Astyanax mexicanus: one gene and its partner. The protein of the gene in region 1 purifies or fractionates together with the protein of each later gene. This does not show direct contact. Links are inferred from orthologs where the notes say so. Each region holds a gene or a part of one and is shown on either strand. Other genes may lie near its edges.

Region 1 (10,381 bases):
GAATTCCAATTCATCTTTCCTGTCATTCAACAGCAAACCTGTATGTCTGGTTTGTGTAGGACACTGGTGGATAAAAGAAAAATCTCATCTTCTTTCTTTGGCTCAGGGTCAGGTTTCAACACAGTAAGAACAAACTCAGACGTTCCTGAAAACACAGCAGCATCAAACAGGATTAAACAAATCCAAATGAAAAATAAAAACTGAAAGGTACAGAATATGCAAGTTTATGCATACCCTCAGTGCAGCGTAGAGGGATGATGGTGGTCCGGCCTGTCAGACAAGCCAAAGGCTGATGGCTCAGAGCATGAAGCCAGCCTAGAAATGCAGACTGAACATCCTCTTCTTGCTCAATCTCAGTCTGCAGTAAGAGAAACACACTTATTATTGATTCCTTTTTAACATATCAGATTTTTTGCACTATAAGGCGCACTTAAAACCCTTTTAATCCTATAAATTTTACCAGGTCAGGTTTTCAGTAAAGCCAGTTTCTCCTGCACTGAGGCTGAAGCAGTATTAGCATTAGTCACTAACCACAGTGCTAGATCTTTCGCCATTCAGAGGTGAGTATATGTAGGGCGTGTTTACTGTGTTAAAACAAGCTACGTGGGATGAACCGCAAGCTGATAGCGCCCTGTCTTACCGGAACACTCAGGATTCCTCATTCTAGCTCTGTCGGGCATTGTTTACTAGTGCTAACTGCTGCTAAACACAAGCTAACCACAACTAGCACTCACCTAAATAAACAGTTTTCAGGAGAGAAATCTGTGTAGATTAAAATCCAATGCTTGTTTGACTTGAAAGACAAAGTTTTTTTTAAGAATTGCAGTTTTGTTTACATAGGCACTTCCCCCTGTGGCGAGACCTGCTGAACTAGAACGGAAACATGGCGACACCCTTGTATCTTACTGTTATCGCTTGATTTGCACCTTATAATCCGGTGCGATTTATGTATGACACCAGACCATAAAATAGACCATTTTTGATAGTGTGCCTTATAGTCTTTTAAATACGATATGTTTTAAATATAAACATATAGGTGTTCTCACATAGCAATTCATCAGGCAGAGATATACATCTGCTTATTCACGCAGTGATCTAATCAGTGCAAAGCATTCACAAAACAGCAGGTGGATACAAGTCAGCAGCTTCAGGAAATGTTTACATTAATCATCAGAATGGGGAAGAAATGTTATCTCAGTGATTTTAAGCAGTTCCCGGAGTTGACCCTGAGTGGTGTAATAAAAAAATAACATCATGTGAGCTGCAGTTTTGCAGACAGAATCTCTTGCTGATGAGAGAGGTCAACTGAGAACGGACTAACTGGTTCTACCTCAGGAAAAAATATATATAAACACATATAACACTGGCTATGTTTACATGCAAAGCTTTTCTCCTATCTGAATAAATTATGTGCACGCTACAAGTAATCCAATCAAACATGACGCACATGTGTAGTATCGCTTAGTGTACACGTAACCATGACAAGGACAACGGGCCGCACGTGATGCCAGCCAGCGTGAGGGGAGCAACAGTAACTGGATAACTAGTTATGTTTCCAGAATTTGCAGCTGGTAAGCTTGTTTTTTCTAACAGCGTTAAAATTATGGCGGACTCCATAACAACCTAATTCACAGTTTCTTTTTAAAGAAGGGTAGAGACGAAGAACTTACGTCCTCAATGTCTTTGAACATTCTGAGGCAAGTGAGCTGGATGCCAGTCCCACCGCCCATGACTAGGAAGCAGTGGATAAAAGTGAGGAGTGATGTTCAGCTTTATAAACTTCCTTCGTGCAGCACATGTACATGCGCAATATTTACTTTCGGACTGGAGATCTAATCGGGTACATGTGTTTACAAGGCTATTTTTTGTTCTATTTAATGGATTATTTAAAGGATTATCCACCTCGTTCAATCAAATAGAAATTGCATTCAGAATGACCTTTACACGTTTACACGCACGTGTTCTACTCTGATTCAGCTATTAGTCCGACTATTAACAGTTTATTATAAATGAACTGCGTTTGTCTGATATTTCAAGTTAAGAGAGAAAGATACACTTACTAGTGTTCGTAGTGGCTGAAGTAAGACAGCCTGTGCAACTGCAGGGGTGCACGTTAGAGGACGAACTCTCACGGCAGAATGCAGGCCTATGCTCAGCCTTGATCGTAAAATGTTTGGGATCTGTGAAGAGAATAGAATAAAAAAATAAATGTATTATTTTTTACATTTTTATTTATTCATCATTGCACTGATTTGTGGTCAAATAAAGTTGTTATGCTGCTTCTTTAATTGCAATGTATCTACAGAGTACCAAATGATTTCCACACAAAGGATCCCACAATCTTTTTTGAAATTTAACAAAAAAGGTAACTTATGTAGCAGTTGTGATATTATAAAGATTATGATTATGTATAATTTCCAAAAATAATTTAGAATAAATAAAATCACAACATATTGCCCAGCCCTATGTCATATGAAATCTAAAAACATGTGCACTGTTACTTTCCTAGTACACAAGTCCAATTGCTGTCCAATAAAAAAACATATATCATAAAAACAACAACTTAAATGGGAAAAATAAAAAATTTCTTTCAATGGACGTAAATGTAAAAACAAAAAAAAAAGTTTATTTCAGCTAATTTTGGGAAATTTCTATTGGCCCATTCATCCAGAATTTTTGACAAGGCACACGGGGATAAATGTTTTTCATTAGATACTTAAGATTAGGTTTTTATAACAAATGTTTTAGACTAATTCTAGAAAAGTAAAGTGTATCAGTGTATAACACTTACCCACACCTTCCCACAGTAAATCTCTCTCATTCCTGAGGATCTTTGGTCTGCTTCCAGCTTTTCTGTGTTATGGCAAAGGATCTTGACCACCACAGACTCCTCCACTGGTTCCTGTGCTTCCTTTTTAGGTTGAGAGCTATTTCCACTCTTTTTCTTCTCCATCGCTTGCTTGGCTTGCTCTCTCACTTCTTTGGGAGAATGAATTTTAGAAACTCTACCATACGTTAACACTGGCTGTTGTGTACTCCAATAGTCATACTGTATTTGGTCCCATGGCAGCATGTGAACATCTCCATGATTTGGGTCAAGATGTCTGATTGCTCCGGGTGGGGTTCCACACACTCTCAGGACACAATCTGGGAAGACTGCGGGGACAGTGGGCACTTCTGGAATCTCCTTGGCGGGCTCATATTTCCCTGTGAACACATATCTCACCAGGCTCTGCAGGTCAGGTACTCCAGCCCAGTGTCTCTGACTGGGCTCCGGCTGATTGTGAATGGACTCAGAGAAAGAATCAGTTCCTGTGGAGGAAGGTGTGGAGGAGGATCCACGGTCTATGTTCTGCTGCCTCTGCAAGACCGGGTTCTTTGTATCTGGAGAAACTGGGGCAAGCTGCCTGCCTCCATGCCGGAGTTTGGGGGAAACAACCAGCTCAGTGAACTGCTCTAATCGACCATACGGAACAGATGGAGACAGGGAGACTACAAGAACAAGAGGTACAGCAATTTACAGACAGAACTGAGGATTTTAAAGAAGTATTTAATAAAAAGTGTTTGAAACAGACCTATCCTGATGTAGATGACAGTGTGTTGGTCAACCCACACAGGAAACACCCCAGAACAGAAAACGACTCGAATCTGGTCTAAAAGGTGCTGTTCCAGAGCTGTGCTGTGAAGCTCCTGGAAAACAAAGGCATTAGGTGTCATCAGTAAAGGGCAGTAATGAAGTAAATGTAATTAGTTGCTGTATATAAGTATTTTTTTGTTATGTGTGTATATAAACATGGCTGAATAATTTTAATTTTAACTCCACTAAAAGTAAACTTTAATATCTAACTTTTTTACTTTATAACATTATCCAAAACGTGTTGTTCCTTTTGGTTTAGGTGTGTAAGAAAAAGGGAACATGTCAAAACAAAAAAACATGAAGTGAGCAAACCAATATGGTTACAGCAGTGACTTATTTTTAAATATGTTCTGACCTGTTGTACTGTATGCTACCCTGTGCAAGCATAGTGCATCAGTGCAACAGTGGAATTTATAGAATATACAGATACATAACAGCAAAGAAAAAACAGTCTAAAAAGTTGTATTCAACTTAAACATGTAACTAAGTTGTAATTAAATCTTGGGGTGTTTTCACACCTAAAAGTTTGGACCAGAGTCTGCACTGAGGTTTGTGCCTTTGTTACATTTTGTACATTGGGTCCGGTTAGTTTTGGTTTCACACAGCAGTTTAGTAAGCAATAAAAGCACCCTTAAACTAAAACTTGGTCCCAACCTGGGAAGTTAATCCAATTAATTTGATTAACTGAATCTTACTGTTTAATTAAATTTTCAAAATGGGACAATGAAGATCGTACACCTTTACATATAGAAGCTGCCAGAGTGAATACAAAACAGAGATGGTTCTGATTAACCTACTCTCCTATTCTAAGAGTCAGCCTATCAGTTTTTAGTGTGGGTGGGCAGTGTTTTTTTATTTGGTGAATGAGACTCACCAGGATCTCCCAGTCATCTGAGGACAGAGGCTCTACAAACACCTGCTGCACAGACTGTACCTGACTACATGGACGCAGGAAGCCCTGAAAAACATCAAAAACAAAAATAAAAAAACAAAATAAAAAGCAAATCACATCAACTTAAATTACAGTTAACTGTAATACAGACATTTATCCAACTCCAGAGTTTACCTGTTCTCCTTCCTGAACTCCCAGTTTCTCCCCTAACTGTCTGTTCAGCTCAACCCTGTCCTCCTGACCTGCTGCGTGGCTTCTTATCCAGCTGAGGAACACTGGAGCAGATGATCCCCAGGACAGCTCCAGGGCCTGTGACTGCATATGACAATAAAAACAGGACAGTTAGACTAGACTAGACTGCACCCCAAGTTAATAAAGCAGGAGCAGCGTAGCCATACTATCACACACCCACTCTCACACACACCTCTCTGAGGGAGAGCTGAGACACTAAGTTGGATGGCAGGTGGAGAAAGCAGTTTTTGGAGTTGTTGAAGGCCAGAGTTACTGGCTGGATTCCGCAGTTCCCCAACATTGCATAAAGAGGAGCTTTAAAGCCTCTTTTAGCGCTGAAAGACTGTATAAATCAGCACTAGTGTTCAGGACCTGCTGCACTACAGAGGATCAGGCGCCATGCTGAACATGTCAATACTGTCAGACAGACCTGACCAATCCATCCACCAGCGTGCGATCATCACTACAATGTATATGAAGCTCAGTATGCCCTAACAAATAATAAACATTTAAACATATTTTCACATTTTAATATTTATTTATATTTGAAATATTGTTTTTAAATGGTCACAAATAATCAAAATAAATTAGGGAAGGTATATGTATATTTAAATGAACTAAAAATGTTACATTTAAAGATTTTTAAATTAAATATCATTTTTAAAAATGTGTTAGCATGTATCTTACAGAATTTAACAGGTCCTGTCATTAGAAAATGAATGTGACATGAAGGTGATATAGTTTAAAAGATCAATCTGCCCACACAAATAATAAATATTAAAAATATATGTTTACATTTTTATATTTTTTTATACATTAAATATTTTTTATTTATACATTTATATTTTTATCATAAAAATAATACAAATAAAATTGAAAGGGTATATGTTTATATTGTTAATAAAATATTCATACATGTAGGACATTTAAATTATTAAAAATATTAAAGGTTAAAATAGATTTTTTTTCTTACCATTTCACAAATGCATTAGCATGTATATTACATGATTTAATAGGTTTTTGTCATTAAAACAATGATTATCTAGGTAATGATAGTTTTAAATGTCTCTCTGCACATTCAGAATACAGAAACATTCAGAATATATTTAAGGCAAAAGTGTGGGAAACATACATCACAAAATATATTTCTTAATTTTGGTTGACACGCTACAATTCTGATATCAATATGAAAAGTATAAATTTGGGTTTCCACCCATGCTGTACATATTCACACACTGATAAATATTTTACACAATATTTAAAGACATTTTCACAATGCACAGTATTCAGACAGTATTTAGTATTTATTTAAATGTATCAGCAGTAGCATATTCTGCTATTAAATGCTCTTTCACAATGTTTTGTACAGTGATTATTAATTAAATCACTCTCTGTAATAAAATGTATGATTGGGTCAGTGTTCTTTAAGTAATGATGATACATCCTCGATTTCTCATGATACGATATTATATATATTGTACTATATTTTAGTACAAAAATATATACTATTGTCTATTTTTGTATTTATTAAAATTTTTATTTAACATTTTTTATTACATGATTACAGTTTATTTCAGTATGTGTTTCTCGCTGAACGTGGATCACTATCTGTGATTGATTATTCGGGTCTGGGTCTGTGTTTAGTTCTGCGCTGTTGTCGGGGACGCTGGGTAATCATCATGGCGGCTCTGAAGCCGGGCTCTGTGTGGGACACACCGCAGGTCTACAAACACCACGAGCAGCAGAGCGCCTGTCTCACCCGCCCGAAGTACAGAGAAGGGAGGAGACTGAAGGCTGTGAAGGTCAGTGAGCTGTTTTTACTGAAACTCCGTACTGAGAGGAGAATAACGGGCCTACAGCCCCAGTGTTTAGACTGCTAGCCTAGCTTAAGTTAGCTGTTTGGCTACACGAGCCTCCCTGTCATCACTGAATCTCCCCAAATCTATAGTTAGTTAACAGAAAGATAGACAATACATAATATATAATGAAGTATATATTATCTGTATACTGAATTATATAGCTACAGTACCAGTAAAACGTTTAAACAAACCTTCTCATTCAATGTTTTTTCTTTATTCGTTTATTTATTTGTCTTTTCTACATTCTAAATTAATATAGATCAAAACAATTAAGGGACACGTAGAATTAATCAGAAGTAATCAGAGAAACAAATATTGATTTCTGAACTCTTAAAACTTTATGAATATGAACTTGTTTTCTTTGCATTATTTGAGGTCTGAAAGCTCTGCTTCTTTTTTGTTATTTCAGCCATTTCTCATTTTCTGCAAATAAATGCTTTACATGACAGTATTATTTGGAATTATAGTTTATAGAATAAAACACTAATGTTCATTTTACTCAAACATATAACTATAAATAGCAAAATCGGAGAAACTGATTCAGAAACTGAAGTGGTCTCAATTTTTTTCCAGAGGTGTATATATAGGGACAGTTTCCCAGACAAAGAAGTCTAATCTTGGGCCGCATATATTTGTGAATGGAAATGTTCCACAATAAAGCAAAACAGTCTACGGCTCGGCTTAATCCTGACTGTATCCTGTATCTTCTGCTTTGTCAATCTGTAGGTTTATACGATTAACCTAGAGTCTCGGTTTCTGCTGGTGCAAGGAGTGCCTGCTGTTGGGGTAATGACTGAGCTGGTGCAGCTCTTTGCTCTCTATGGAGTGGTGGAAGAATACAGAGTACTGGATGAGTATCCTGCAGAACAGTTCACTGAAGTTTATCTTATCAAGTTCCAAAAGCTTACAAGTGCAAGGTGAGAATAAAACCTCAAACATGGAAAGATGTAAATCATACAGTAGATAGCATGGTTAGATTAAAATTGTCACTTGTGTTTTATTTAAAATAAGAATAATTTAGCATTTTTCTTAAACCCTGTAATGTGCATGTATTTTACTTAGGCTAAATAGTTTCATTGAATGTTGCCATTAAACCATATGCCAAACCATATTAAAATAAAATTTAAAAAACACATCCCCATTATACATCATAGATAGGATAGTATTTCGAAGTAGTATGACCGTTCTATTGACACACTCTCCTTGGTTTAGACATGCCTCTTAAGATGTTATCAAATGGACATTGTATACACATGTCCTCCTTGGTTAAGACATGCCTCTTAAGATGTATCATGCATGTTTTCAAGCACATTTTAAGATATCCCAAGATCTGTTGATAGCTGAGTAATTTTGTCTGTTTCAGGGCTGCCAAAAGAAAAACAGATGAAAGAAGCTTCTATGGGGGTCTGCTTCATGTTTGCTATGCCCCTGAACATGAGACTGTGGAAGACACAAGAAGGAAGTTACAGGACAGGAGAAGATATGTTTACAGAACAACCCAAAGATTAGGTATTTTGTACGCTTGCATCACACACATTTTTGTTTCTGCAATCCATGTAATTAACCAGTTTGTCTGGTTGTACTGCACCTTTATTACAGAAAGGGAATGTGAGCAAGAACAGGCTACAGAGAAAACAACTCCTGCCAGTTCAGAGACACCAGCTCCATCATCAGTGTATGAAGATAGGACATGTCCTCGAAGTTCCCAAGAGGACAATTGTAGTTCCAGCACATCTTCTAGCTTTCCATTATTGCCGCTACCACCTCATGAAAGAGTTCATCAGCACTATTTTTCATCTAAGGACTCATTTAAGTCTGTGAAGACTGTACATGAAGGCAGTGTACCTACAGAAGATAGAATGGGATCTTTACACAACTTCATCCCTAGTAACCGTGCCCCAGATGATTGCAAGCAGACCACACAGTGGTCAGACCTGCCTTCTGGTTCTACCTTTGGCAACGAAGAGAGAAGTATTATCAAAAAACCCAAACATCCGCCAAGCACTGCACCAAGGTTTATACCAAGGACTGCACAATTAGAAAACAGGAAAAGGAAAATGGAGGACAGTACAGACTTGTTAGGTGTGGCAGACAGAAATGCCCCCTTGTATGGACCCAAACTACCAGAACTACCAAAGATGGACATGGAAGATGCATCATTAAACAAAACGGCAAACATCATCAGGCAAACAATGTCAAAGGTCAGCATTATAAGTATTTTTTTTTACTGTTATGAATGTTATAGAATAGTTAAAACGTATGTCTGAAATTGTCTCTCTTTTTCTTTTTAGGTTGCATCAGTTCCATCTGAAAAGAAGACAACAGCTGTAAAAGCACGGCGAAGAATATAATTTTCTCTTGTCTTCAGTGTGCATTTTTTATTGATGTACTGTAATAGTGGTTTATTGTAAAATAGCACTGTTCATTTTTCTTTATATGAGTGATTCACTTGTTACTGGAAAGCATGTTGCTCAAATTCCAGGGTCCTCTGAAAACAAACAAAAATACACATTTATTTATTAAATTGTATTTTTCTATAAATGTCAAAATAAAAAAAATCTGAAGACAGACAACTGTCATTTTAAGTATTATTACAGTAAGATGGATGGTATAGTAAGAATATTAAATTATTAAAACAATAATGACACTCATGCAGAACATTGCAAAACGTAAAATTTAACAATTTTACCTTTGCATCAGGAAGACAAGTTCCGAAAGCTTCTAATAGCAGATTTTCCTCTCTTACAGACTTCTCAAAATCACTATATGAAAGTCTGCTGTCATGGTCATAATCCTGAATGCCGAAAACAGAAATCATTTTTAGTGTATCTGTTATATTTTTGACTGACTGTGCTCAACTATCTCCCCAGCTGTGGTCTCACCATTTTCTTTAGTATTATTTCCACAAGGTCCTTAATCCCTTCATCAGGTTCTTCTTCAGTCGGCTGTCTGATCAGACTGTTCTTCAACATGTGGAACATTTCCTCCCTCGATATGTAGCCATCTCCATTAAGGTCGTACACCTCAAAACAGTCTGATCGTTTTAGAGAAATGAGCATGGATTAAGAACAGTGATCTGAGAATTATCTTCATCACACAATCTGTTCAGCTCAGTCTTACATTTGATCTTTTCATCCAAGGTGCCTCGAAGGAAGACTGACAGTCCTTCCACCCACTCCTTTACACTGATATAGCTGTCATTGTCGCTGTCGAAGGACCGGAAGACTGTGTGGGTTGGAGAAATGTTGGCTTTAGAGATGTGATATTGACTTCTACAAGTTCTAGCCTTTACATATAGAAATAGTTCCCTTACCTCTGTCCATAATCATGTCGTCTGTCAGTCCAAACGTGTTGTGTAGGATGTTTCTGAATTTTCCCCGGTCCAGACCAAGCCCTGCTCTCTTCTCTGTCTGCCCTTCCAGCAACTCATTAAAGAGTCGAATGAGGCACTCTGCCTCTGTTTTATTAACTAGAGTAAGAGGATTGTTCTGGTTATACTTATTGACTTTCAGATAATGGCAGAGTTGGACAAACCATGAGCAGTATTAAAAAAAGATTTAAGTAGAGAATAATGTACAGAACTGCAATCAGAACATCTTACAGGTCATATTAAAATAATCAGCATGAATTGGTACACAGATAAGAGGTCATTGAAATAGTACATATCTCTTTTTGGGCTCATTGTTGTTTAAATTGTTAATTAGAGACCTTAGGATTGTATGGGTATAGGCTGTATATACACTGACATGTCAAAAGTCATGA
Region 2 (11,014 bases), on another chromosome or scaffold:
GGTCTCGATAATCATGATAACAGTTGATACTGAAGTCAAAATTCTGATATTGTGACAACCCTAAAAGTGACTGCATCACAAAAAAAATTAAGCATCTCTGTAATTTCATCCCCTTTTCCCACCTTTTTTTTTTTTTTTTTACACCACCACTGATGTAGCATTACTGGGTAGTTCTGATACATCAGCTAGCAGATGTATGTGCTGACCGATTTTACCCTAGGAATGATGGGGGAAAGAGCACAAACTACCAACCCAGATAGGGCAAGGCCATTTATGCTGTCTGAGGCTCTATCTGCCGATAATGTAGCAGCATGATCTGAGACTTAAACCAGCGATACAAGGATCAAAGTAGTCTGTTAGCCCACTCAAGAAAGACCTTTACATAGGAAAAGTTTAAATCTTCATTTTTACTTTTATGTTTACAAAACTAAAATGCTCCATAAATCATACTTCACACAAAAAATACAGATCTATTTATTTTTTATTTCTATTGCAGTTCATGTAGCAGTGCAACAGTATTGGCATGTTTCACATTGGTGGGTTTAGTTTAAAACAATTATGGTTTAAAACTACAACACACAACAACTTAGTTTAAGTAGTTAGGTGACTCATTTAATCTCAGTTAATGCTTTAATCTCTAACCCCACAACTAAATAAATGACACGCTTGCAGGCTGCTGCTTACAGAATATATTAACTCTAGACCTCTTTGAAAATTGCAGACTAGGGTTTGACTCCCGGCCAGACACGTTTATCATGATACACCAACAAGGGTTATAGGACAGGATGCCAAATGCTAACAATGTAAAATAAAAGTTGGACAGCTGATCCTTAGGATTACATTAAATTTCATGCACTCGAAAGAAGTGTTTAATGCAGCTTGAAGGTTAAACATCTTAATTAATAGGGAATAAACCTTACAAATCTTAGGACATGGCATGTAAACACTTCTGACAAGTTTAGTTCTTAAGAGCATTTGTGTACTTGAGTGTTACAGTAGCTTTTACTCTTTTGGTATTTCCAGTGTTGTTTTTCTTTACGTAGCTGAGAACTACTTAAGGTTTCAGGAGAAAGCTCTGTAATATGGTCCGAACATGGTGTTCCACATCTGCTGGAAGAGTCTGTACAGGCGAAGGATCCATGGATAGGCTGAGGGCAAAGCTGTGGATTAAAAATGTGTTGAAATAAATGAATGATCTGTTATTAAATGCTTTTGAAGCATTGTTGGTTTCGATAGCAGTTATTAAATTTTTTTATGCTCAATTTGAACAGATCAGAATCAGCTGAGCTATTCTGGGTGTACACACACCACCAGCTACATGTTATTGAGAACACACAGGAGCTGTACACACCCGTCCTCTTACCTGGGTCATTGCGGACAAGCAGCAGGTATAGCAGGAACACAAGCAGAAAAGCTCTTTGAAGAGAACGGGACCTGATGTTAGTGCTGGCTGCAGAAAGACTTCTGTACAACAATCTCACCAGAGCGTTTAACCGTTGGACCAGAGAACCTAAAAGGTAAAACCCTTTAGGAAGTGTTCACACAAATTATAAAAAAAAAACGACACTGATATTCCAATTAGTTAAATCATATACATGTACAGTGCACCTGTATTTTTAAAAGATGTACATTTACTATTACTGACTATGGCCCATCTTTTGCTGCACTGTTCATCAGCTACTCCTCATATAATCAGATAAACCATATGTTCACCAATGAGCAGATTTTTTAGTGACACTGGCATAATCATAGCATAGTGGTATGCTGCAACGTTATACATAGAAAGCACAAAAGGTTTAGGTGCCTTAATATGACTGCAAAGTTGAAAACTTGACAAAATATCCAGTTAACAGTGGTACTATAATCAGAAGCTGACCACTGTGACAAGGACGGTGAACACAAATGTGCATGGAAATAAATAAGCTACTTGTACAATAAAATGCTTGTTAATTTTACAGTGTTTACAAGCATCACAGTTTGAGTGTCAAGGCTATGATGAAAAATACAAGCCCTGGTTTGGGGTTGTAATATTAGGGGACAAGTGAGCCTACTGTGGCCCCTTTCCACTTACGTATGGAGTTGAAGATTGTTACATATACGCCTGCCTGACCAAATAAAAGTCGCCACCTAGATTTAACTAAGTACATGATTTGGGGGTGCTGTAGTTGATCAGGTCTTTATTCAGGTCATTCTTTCAGCATCAGTATGTGCTGAAAGAATGAGGTCAGCTGACTACCTGAACATACTGAATATAGACCAGGTTATTCCATCAATGGATTTTTTTCTTCCCTGGAGGTACGGGCATATTCCAAGATGACAATACCAGGATTCATGGGGCCAGAATTGTGAAAGAGTGATTCAGGGAGCATGAGATCATAATTTCCATGTATGGATTGTTCACCACAGAGTCATTGAGAATCTTTGGGATGTGCTGGAGAAGGCTTTGTGCAGCAGCCAGACGCTACCATCATTAATGCTAAAAGGTGGTCCAACGAAATATTGGAATGTGTGAACTTTTTTTTGGCCGGGCAGTGTATTTAAAAGTAGTTATAAACAGGCTACAATAAATAATTGTATAATAGAATCTACAGACATAGATGTATGTAAAAAACTGATCAGTACTTTATTACTTTCATTACTATTCATGAGAAATTGTCAATAGTGTTTGTTTTTACCACTTAATGAGACATACCTTGGGATGTATGAACTCTGCCAGTAGTCTCTGCCTCTACTGAGACACTTTCAGGGCTTGGATACACAGTGGACTCTCTTTTGGATCTATGATTGTCTACTATAGTTAGTGCAGTCTGTCTCTGGTCCTCAGTAAATGCAGCCTGGCCCACTTCGTCCTCCAGCAGCTGTATGGCCATGTTGGTTTGGCCCAGTGGCAGAAGGATGTGCAACATGTAAAGCTCTGCTACACTGCTGTATCCTGAATGGCTCATGTTACTGGGGCAGTGCAGCCAAGCTTGGACTGCTTCCAGCACTTCTGCCTGCTCAGCCACTTTGGTGTACAAAAGAATGCTGTAATAGTATATTATATAATAGTTATTTGTTTTTTTCCATTGCTATTTTAACAGTAAACACAAGCACAAACGGGCATAAAGCAATAGCAATACTTTTACCACATCTGCATGATCTTGGCAGGTATTTTCTCTGTTTCCCCATAGTGCTGTAAGACCCATTGAAGGACATCACGCCACTGGTTAAGCTCAGCCAAAGCTTGAATTCCGACTATGCAAAAAGATGCCTTCAATTCACCATGTCTGGAACTATGAAGACAAACAGATCTGAGTAAAATTACACCTACATTGGCGCAATTAAATAGAATTCTTGAAAAGTCATGCTGAGTCATCTGATGCAAAGTCCACAATACCAATAATTTATTTAATATTCAGTGCAACCAGTCAACAAATATGCATTTAATTGAATATTCAATAATGATGATCAACTGGTTTATGATGGTAAAATTGTCAGTTTTAATTTGCTATTGTATATGTACCTCTCTATCATTAAGGAATTTCAGTCATGTAATAGCTTCTTGTTTTTTTATTAAATGCGTAATAATATCACAATACATGTATGCAATTCATATGAACCACTCTAAATGTGATCAGTGGGATTGCCATTCACATTATATATATATATATATATATATATATATATATATATATATATATATATATATATTTAATATATACAGAAATAAAAGGATACATGTACACTTTGTGTTGTACTTGTACAGTCCTTGTTTCTACACTAGAAATTTTAAATGGGTAGGATTTATCATTTCCACTGACCATGTAGAAACACTTTCTAGTTCTAAAATTACAGTGTGTAGTCATTTTGTTTTATTGCATAAATTATTATCCCTTTACCCTGATCTTCAAAACTCAGGACACCACAGGACCACCACAGAGCAGCTGTTATTTGGACGGTGGATTAACTCCCAGCACTGCACACACTGACATGGTGGGGGTTTATGAGGTGTTAATGTGTGTTGTGCTGGTATTAGTGGGTCAGACCCCTACTGTCAAGAGTTTTTAAACAACTAATAAAGTGAACAGTGAGTGAACACAGTTATCCCAACAGCTCTGTGCTGGTTTCAATAGAAGAACAAGGTGAAAGGAGGATAAAGTATGCAAAGAAACAGATTAAGGATTAGTCTGTAAGTACAGAACTACAAAGTGATCATATATGATCAGTGGCACAAATAAGTGTGTGAGTAGTAACAAAGAGATGCTCATAATATTTTCATATGAATGCATGTTCATATTGTTTAGTGCTCCAATTTTAAATAGGTCGTTACTTATTCAAGTTCACGATACGACAATGAAATAACTGCAATAAATCAACAGCTCATTCGATTTATCAAGAACATATGGATCGTAATGCACGACTGTGGAAAGGCGAGCTTTCCACGGTTTATCTCGGCCTAATGGTTACACAAGACTCCAATAATCCCAATTAATTCGTATGGTATTCCACTAAACTGGGAGACCCTAAACCTTGCAAGTGTGAAGCTACGTTTCAGTACACCCACCACGACTCTTCTTGATCTTCAGCGCTAAATAAACTTTCCAGTCCCCTCTCACACGTGTCAAATGCTGCTTGAAAATCTTTTGTAATCATTAAATGTTGGACGGCAGCGTGCACCAGTCCAGCACGAGGAGTCAACACACATGCTGCAGGACTGCCGAGGCGACACGAGGCTGACGAGCTGCTCCGCATAGCGGCTTAATCAGCTGCGTGTTGTGATCTAATGGCGAATCCGTTTAAATTACCAGCAACGTTTTTACAAACAATTTACAAACTAATCTCCGTCACATTCAAGCTGCAACAGACGCGTCGGTACACACTCCAGTCGCCCCTCCTCCTACCTTTAGTACTGCGTTCCAATATACTCACTTCGGTACTAACTAGCATGCTTGGTAGGGCGTAGGATTTCGCCCTCTAGCAGAATTCATCAGACATCTTTCTGGCTGGAAGTTTACCGCTCTAATTGGAGCGTACCCCTTACATACGCTGCTTCCGTAAACAAAAAGCAAAAAAAAAAAAAAAAAAAAAACATACCAAACGACAAATTAAAAGACCTCAGTTGTTTGTACACAAATGTTTAATTTGTGTTTTAAATACAGCTTAACATATTCCAATGTAAGCTATAAAATACAATAGTATTAACAGTAATATTTTAAGCGGCATTAATTTTTTCTATCAATGATGTTACACGTTTAAACAGTGCAGTTTGCAGGCAAGTGATACAGCATATCATTTTGACAGTCTATAACCACGTCCGGCTGATCATTGCCTCACTGACCAAGAGCTGACCTCGTTCTGAAAGTAAATTCATTAGTTTTTTCCTCCTTCTCCAAGTCACCTTCAAACCATAGTCTCTCTCAGGCGTGTCTTTCACTAACACACTCATGTTTTGAGTGCTTGGCTGATCTGTAAAAAATGGTATGGAAAGAACGGGAGAGGAAAGGCAGTGCACACTGTGTGGTATTTCAGGAGTCTCCACGTGGGGAGGAGTGAATGAAGAGCTAGTGTCTTCTGCTTCCTGTGCAGGCCTGTGATGAGAGCGTACAGTGCTCCCTTTTCCATGTATGAATTCAAGTGGTGTTTTCACACACTCCGAGGTCCTGTTGGGGGTCAGTGTAGGATCTGGTGTAGCTCTTTTCTGCCCCCTTTCGGTGAGAGAAGGTCCCTGTCTAGGAGTCTCTTCAGGAACCTCATTCTGATTGAGAGATGAACCCGTTTTGTCACTTTGAGAACGCCTCACATCTTGAGATTTTGGTAATTCCCCAGCCCTGGAGGCAGTGTTTTTGTGGAAAGCACCGTGATGTCTCTGTGAAACTGATGTGCTTGTCCTAAATGACAAAGAAGAGTATCTTCCAGCAGTTGCTCTTTTGACCTGATGCAAAGACAGAGCTGAGGTTGTGTTCATTGTGTTTGTGGGAAGGCGATTCTTCTTCCTCCTACGTCCACCACGTCTGACTGCTGTGTCATTTTGGGATATAAACTGGGGAGACACCTGCAATAAATAAAATTCACATTAATATTGTTTTACTGTCAATAATGTTTACTGCACTCCTTTTAGATAATTCATTTATCAAATATTCCCATTGTACATTAACTGCTACTTTACTGTTAAAATCTTCCTTTTTAAAATAGAAAAATATAATAAATAGGTAAATAAAAATAACAAAATACCAATGGCTAGTGGTTATTAGTAAATAGGTTACACATACAAATAAACAAGAAATGTATCTAATTGGTATCTTCATAACCTTGGAGCTATATTTCATCTAGACACATTAATTTATAGAAGTTAGATTTAGATAATTTTAGGATGTAATTCATTTTCCAAGTTTCATATAATACAGTGCATCTTTAATCCAGGTTTAATACCAGAGTTCCACAAGCTTCTGGACCCCGGGAGCCAAGCCCTTAACTGTCATTGTTCCCCAAGCCCTGCAGCAGCGCCACTGACTGCGCCTGGGCATGTACACACTCACTTAACACCTTAATGCAAATTTCTATCTGAAACTCAAAAAGACCTTCTTGCTCCGTAGTCACATAAGGCTTTCTATTAGTATATCAACAAATTCCATATAACTATATAAACACTGATCTAGTATGAATATAAAATGATCTATTTAGGTTAAGAATCTTTATTTTCCCGACCTGCACAATACACTACATAGGAAGCAGTGTGTGATTTGGGACTGAACCTCGGTGTTTTCTTCTTTTTTCATGTTGTGCTTATATCTCGCTCTTCTATCGCCCCTACATGGAGGGTCACTCTTAAGGTGTTCGTACGTGTGTACGGAAATAATAAAATGTTTTAAACAATCTGAAATGTCTGGGCGAAGCCCAAAACACCATGGCAAAAATTATTTTTAAACTAACCAATGTTTTTTTCCCCGACCCTCTTCCTTATCGATAACCTCAAAAACCTCACAAAAAAATCAGAATTGCCCCTTAAGAGAAAACCTGTAATTAATTACCTTTTTAAATAAATGTTAAATGAACCACACACATGACAGTGTGGGAGAATGCTGGTTGGTGTATATTTACCCATGAAGAAACTGAGGAGCTTTTCCGAGACGTTTCTTCAGCTATAAAGGATCTCGGATTAATGGCGCTTCTTAACTGGTGTCCGTATTCGTGCTTCGTGCCGTTTCTGGGCTGTTCTACAAACAGAAGATGAGATTTTTGTGGAGTGGGCAGCCGCGGTCTTCGTGTTTGACGAGGCATGAGAAGTCATGATAATCCTGATTTAAAGAAAAGAGTGTGCACATACTACATATATATTCATAATCACAGAACAGCGAGGCTCTGCTGGTTCTTTGCGCATGCCTGTAGCTTACAGTTCAGGACATAAATTCTAACCACGGCGGTATGTCACACAGTCTACACACGCTCACATCGCAGACACTGCCTCTGATCACTGTTTTAAACATAGGTAGAGTGGTTATTATTATGAAGTTTTTTACGATAAAATAGAGCTCACTCCTCGACTTGCATGTCTCTGTTCCCGTCTCTCATTGGTTCACCACACTGGCCTGTCTAGCGTCGCACAACCTTATTGGTCGAGCATTAGTCACGTGATCTCCCCCGCAGCACTGCGCCAAAATTCAAACTGGTGTTAGTGCACGCCTGCTGCAGTGAGCGGACAGTGAACTCGTCCACTGATTTAACTTCTCAGAACGACAAGACTCTTAACTACCAGGCAGTTGGAGTAATATGAAGGTTTGATTAACTTTATATTTAACGATTTTAATAAGCGACGGTCTAGCTAGTGCACAGGCTGAGGCTAGATATGCGCTAACACAGGCTGCTGGGAGTAGCACTGAAGCGCTAACACACTGGACACGGGTCTTTGTGTTAGACCGTGCTAAAACTAACGATACTAGATAACAAATCCGGCTGCAGCCAGCAGAAGTGCTTTATTGAAATCATGGCGTATGCGTTGGAGACAGCTATTGTTGAACTGCGCACAGCTTCACTTACAGTAGTCTGGACAAAAAAATACATAACCTACGATATAACTGCGTTAGCTAGGCTAGCTACATGGTTCCGTATTGAGATCAGTGTGTGTATGCTAACGTTGTGTAGTTAGCTGTTAGCTTAGGTAACTAACTGCATAACGTTAGCACACACAGCAATCTCACCTGTCCAGAGTGTGTAATGATCAAGTCAAACAGTTAACTAAGTTAGCCTAGGTTACCTGCGGTGTAACATAAACATAACGTTATATCGATTATGTTTTAGCGTTGTTGTTTTCTAGTGTACGTCACGGGATCCGTTTACTTTCAAAAGTGGGCAGGTCGGCCGTCCGGTACCGTCGGTTCTGAGATTAAACATCCATCGGAGAGAAATATAACTATTATAGGAGGACGATCAGCACCCAGTAACGTTTAGCTGTAGTTACTGGTGTTTGACTTGTAACGCCTCTCATAACGCTGTTAGACTGAATCTTGCATCAGTGCTCGGAATTTCAGGTGACTCTATGATCGGCTGTTTTGATAACCTAACTAGTTATCGTTAGCTTAGCTAGCTACATATTATGCTTACTGGATAGCTATTTTGTATTTTATTACTTAATTATTGATTGTAACGTTACATTATTAATAAGTACGATATAGGGGTTTGCCAGTGATCTCGCCATTTTTTTGGAATATAGTGAACAATAATATACCCTGAAATATCGTTGCCATGTCACCCACTTTTAATCATCACAACAGGTTAACGTTAAGTTACTACTTTGTAGGAAAATATTTGGAGGTCATTATTAGCATCATGACATTCTGGATCATTGGCTTTTGTTACTAATCTGATAAAATTATTTTTAATAGGGGTGTGCTATATCACATCATATGGAATAATAAAATAAAATATACATTAAGAAAAATTATATTCAGTGTTTTGTCATATTGCCAAGAGTATAGTTATTATGAAAATTCCATGAAATACAAATACTATGATAGCATTTGCAGTATTCTCTAATTAAATATTAACAGTTTTTTTTTCTTCTTGATGCAGACTGCCAGACAGGACGATAGCCATATCACTGCGATATAAAGAATGAGGGAAAGTCCCAGGAGGCCCCTGATCCTTAAGAGGAGGAAACTACCCTTTCAGAGAAGTGGACATGATGAGGAGACTGATGGGCCTCAGTCCAAGACTGCCTCGACTGCGAGCGCTCAGTCCTTTCCTCATGGCATCTGTATTATGGACCATCCTACAAAACCTGACACACAGGTAGTCGTCATACCCAAGACTGCAGATCTTCAAAGTCTCATCGGGGCGCTGACTGCCAAAGGGAAGGAATGTGGCCCTCAGGGGCCAAACAAGTTCATTTTACTGAGTGGCAGTAGTAGTCTGGAGGATGGAGTCTGTCCTTTCTTCAGTGCCTCTTCAGAGACACAGTCTAGAGCAACTTCAAGTAGACCAGAAGGATGTGCTAAAGAAGACTTGCTGGAAAACAGAAAACCCTGTATGTATTGATATGAACTATTTAAACCCTAAAACCTTTAATATACCAAATGTTCATTTAACAGGTGACAGAAGTGAGTGTTTTTAAAAGACGACAATGTCTGTTTATTTGTTTGTTTTTTGCACTGTATTGGTTTAGTAATTTCTACATGAGCATTTGGAGAATTAACTTCACATATACAATTGCTGCATAAGAATATACGCACATTTATTGTTGTTTTGCCAGTGAAAAAGGAAGCAAACTGCAGTCTACTAGAAAACAGCTTGACAAGCATCCAGTGGCTAGGAGAAATGAGCACAGATGTTCTTGGATCTGAGCCTGCAAAGACATCATCTGAAAATCTTCAACAGGTACATACTAAAAGTGCATTTAAATAGAAAACCTGTAAATATAATTATAATTATTTATATAACAAAATCCATATATTCTAAAAACATTAGCTACTGTTTCTATTGTCTGCTTAATTATGAGTTTAATTACCAGTAGAATTTTGGTTCACAGCAGCAGACATACCATTTTCTTTTAAAGTTTAGCTGCAAGCATCTAGAGATTCCTTGTTGTAAATCAACATGCTTTCTCTTTCAGCCAGTGCAAGCTAAAGAGGAAATGGATGCAGTTAAGATCCCTCTGTCAGAAAGGCCACCTTACTCCTACATGGCCATGATACAGTTTGCTATAAACAGCAAGAAATCTAGGAAGATGACACTGAAGGAAATATATAACTGGATAGAGAGCCACTTCCCTTACTATCGAAATGTGGCCAAACCGGGATGGAAGGTATTACTGAATGCAGAACATTTTCTGAATATTTTCTAATTTTAAAAGTTGTATGTTTGTCAACTTTGTGCCAGATCACAGATGATTAGGAGTTCCTAAACCAGGGGTCACCAACATGGTGCCCGCTGGCACCAGGTAGCCCACAAGGACTTTGAGTAACCCGCAGGCCTGTTCTAAAAATAGCTTTTTTTCACAGATGCATTGGTTTAAATTTAAAAACAAATAAAAAAAAAAAACTTTAAAAAATGTTCCATATTAAATTAGATATAGCCCACAATTGCCATTGAGACCAGCTATCGGTTCAGGTGAGGAGACAATGTACCCCTGACAACATGGCAGAAAAAAGAAAGAAAATATATTTTCACAATGAATGGAAGAAAGTTATTTTTTACAACTGAAAGGTACCTGTGTGTGTCTCATTTGCGGGGAGACCGTGGCGATGGCAAAGAGGCACATTGTGGAGAGACATTTCAGGATGAGTCACACAAGCTACCATGCTAACTGTAATGTAATATTATGTAGTATTATATTAAAATATAATATAAAATGTAAAATACTTACAGAGATTTATATAATATATTATATAATAACTTATAATTTAAGGTAAATTTAGCAAATGTGTGAAATTTACAAGGGGATATCAAACTCGTAGCATTAATTGGTACCTATGAAGTGGCTTTTGGTTTCAATGATTGGTAACCCCTAATCTAAACATTCAATAATCAAACACCAGTCATT

Evidence for each region.
Region 2: the proteins of pex1 (region 1) and pex26 purify together in Homo sapiens (affinity purification with western blotting; 3 studies listed by BioGRID and IntAct, with this or other methods). This does not show direct contact. The link is inferred for Astyanax mexicanus from reciprocal best matches to the Homo sapiens genes PEX1 and PEX26.

What each region holds. Positions count from the first base shown.
Region 1 is NC_064410.1:48,088,417-48,098,797, forward strand, and holds the start of pex1 (peroxisome biogenesis factor 1), read right to left. Parts: upstream 5,173-10,381; 5' UTR 5,062-5,172; coding exon 4,954-5,061; intron 4,845-4,953; coding exon 4,704-4,844; intron 4,596-4,703; coding exon 4,512-4,595; intron 3,691-4,511; coding exon 3,576-3,690; intron 3,493-3,575; coding exon 2,792-3,492; intron 2,181-2,791; coding exon 2,061-2,180; intron 359-2,060; coding exon 235-358; intron 146-234; coding exon 39-145; intron 1-38. Other genes in the region: rbm48 (RNA-binding protein 48), read left to right, coding at 6,440-6,562, 7,346-7,536, 7,983-8,128, 8,219-8,820, 8,911-8,970; efcab1 (calaxin), read right to left, coding at 9,072-9,107, 9,309-9,413, 9,502-9,653, 9,740-9,844, 9,933-10,088. UniProt on the Homo sapiens protein: Component of the PEX1-PEX6 AAA ATPase complex, a protein dislocase complex that mediates the ATP-dependent extraction of the PEX5 receptor from peroxisomal membranes, an essential step for PEX5 recycling.
Region 2 is NC_064409.1:30,363,038-30,374,051, reverse strand, and holds pex26 (peroxisome assembly protein 26), read right to left. Parts: upstream 4,889-11,014; 5' UTR 4,732-4,888; coding exon 4,544-4,731; intron 3,273-4,543; coding exon 3,126-3,272; intron 3,025-3,125; coding exon 2,693-3,024; intron 1,526-2,692; coding exon 1,364-1,525; intron 1,161-1,363; coding exon 1,063-1,160; 3' UTR 464-1,062; downstream 1-463. Other genes in the region: rhno1 (RAD9, HUS1, RAD1-interacting nuclear orphan protein 1), read right to left, coding at 5,282-6,031, 7,078-7,257; foxm1 (forkhead box protein M1), read left to right, coding at 9,088-9,499, 9,725-9,849, 10,085-10,276. UniProt on the Homo sapiens protein: Peroxisomal docking factor that anchors PEX1 and PEX6 to peroxisome membranes. PEX26 is therefore required for the formation of the PEX1-PEX6 AAA ATPase complex, a complex that mediates the extraction of the PEX5 receptor from peroxisomal membrane.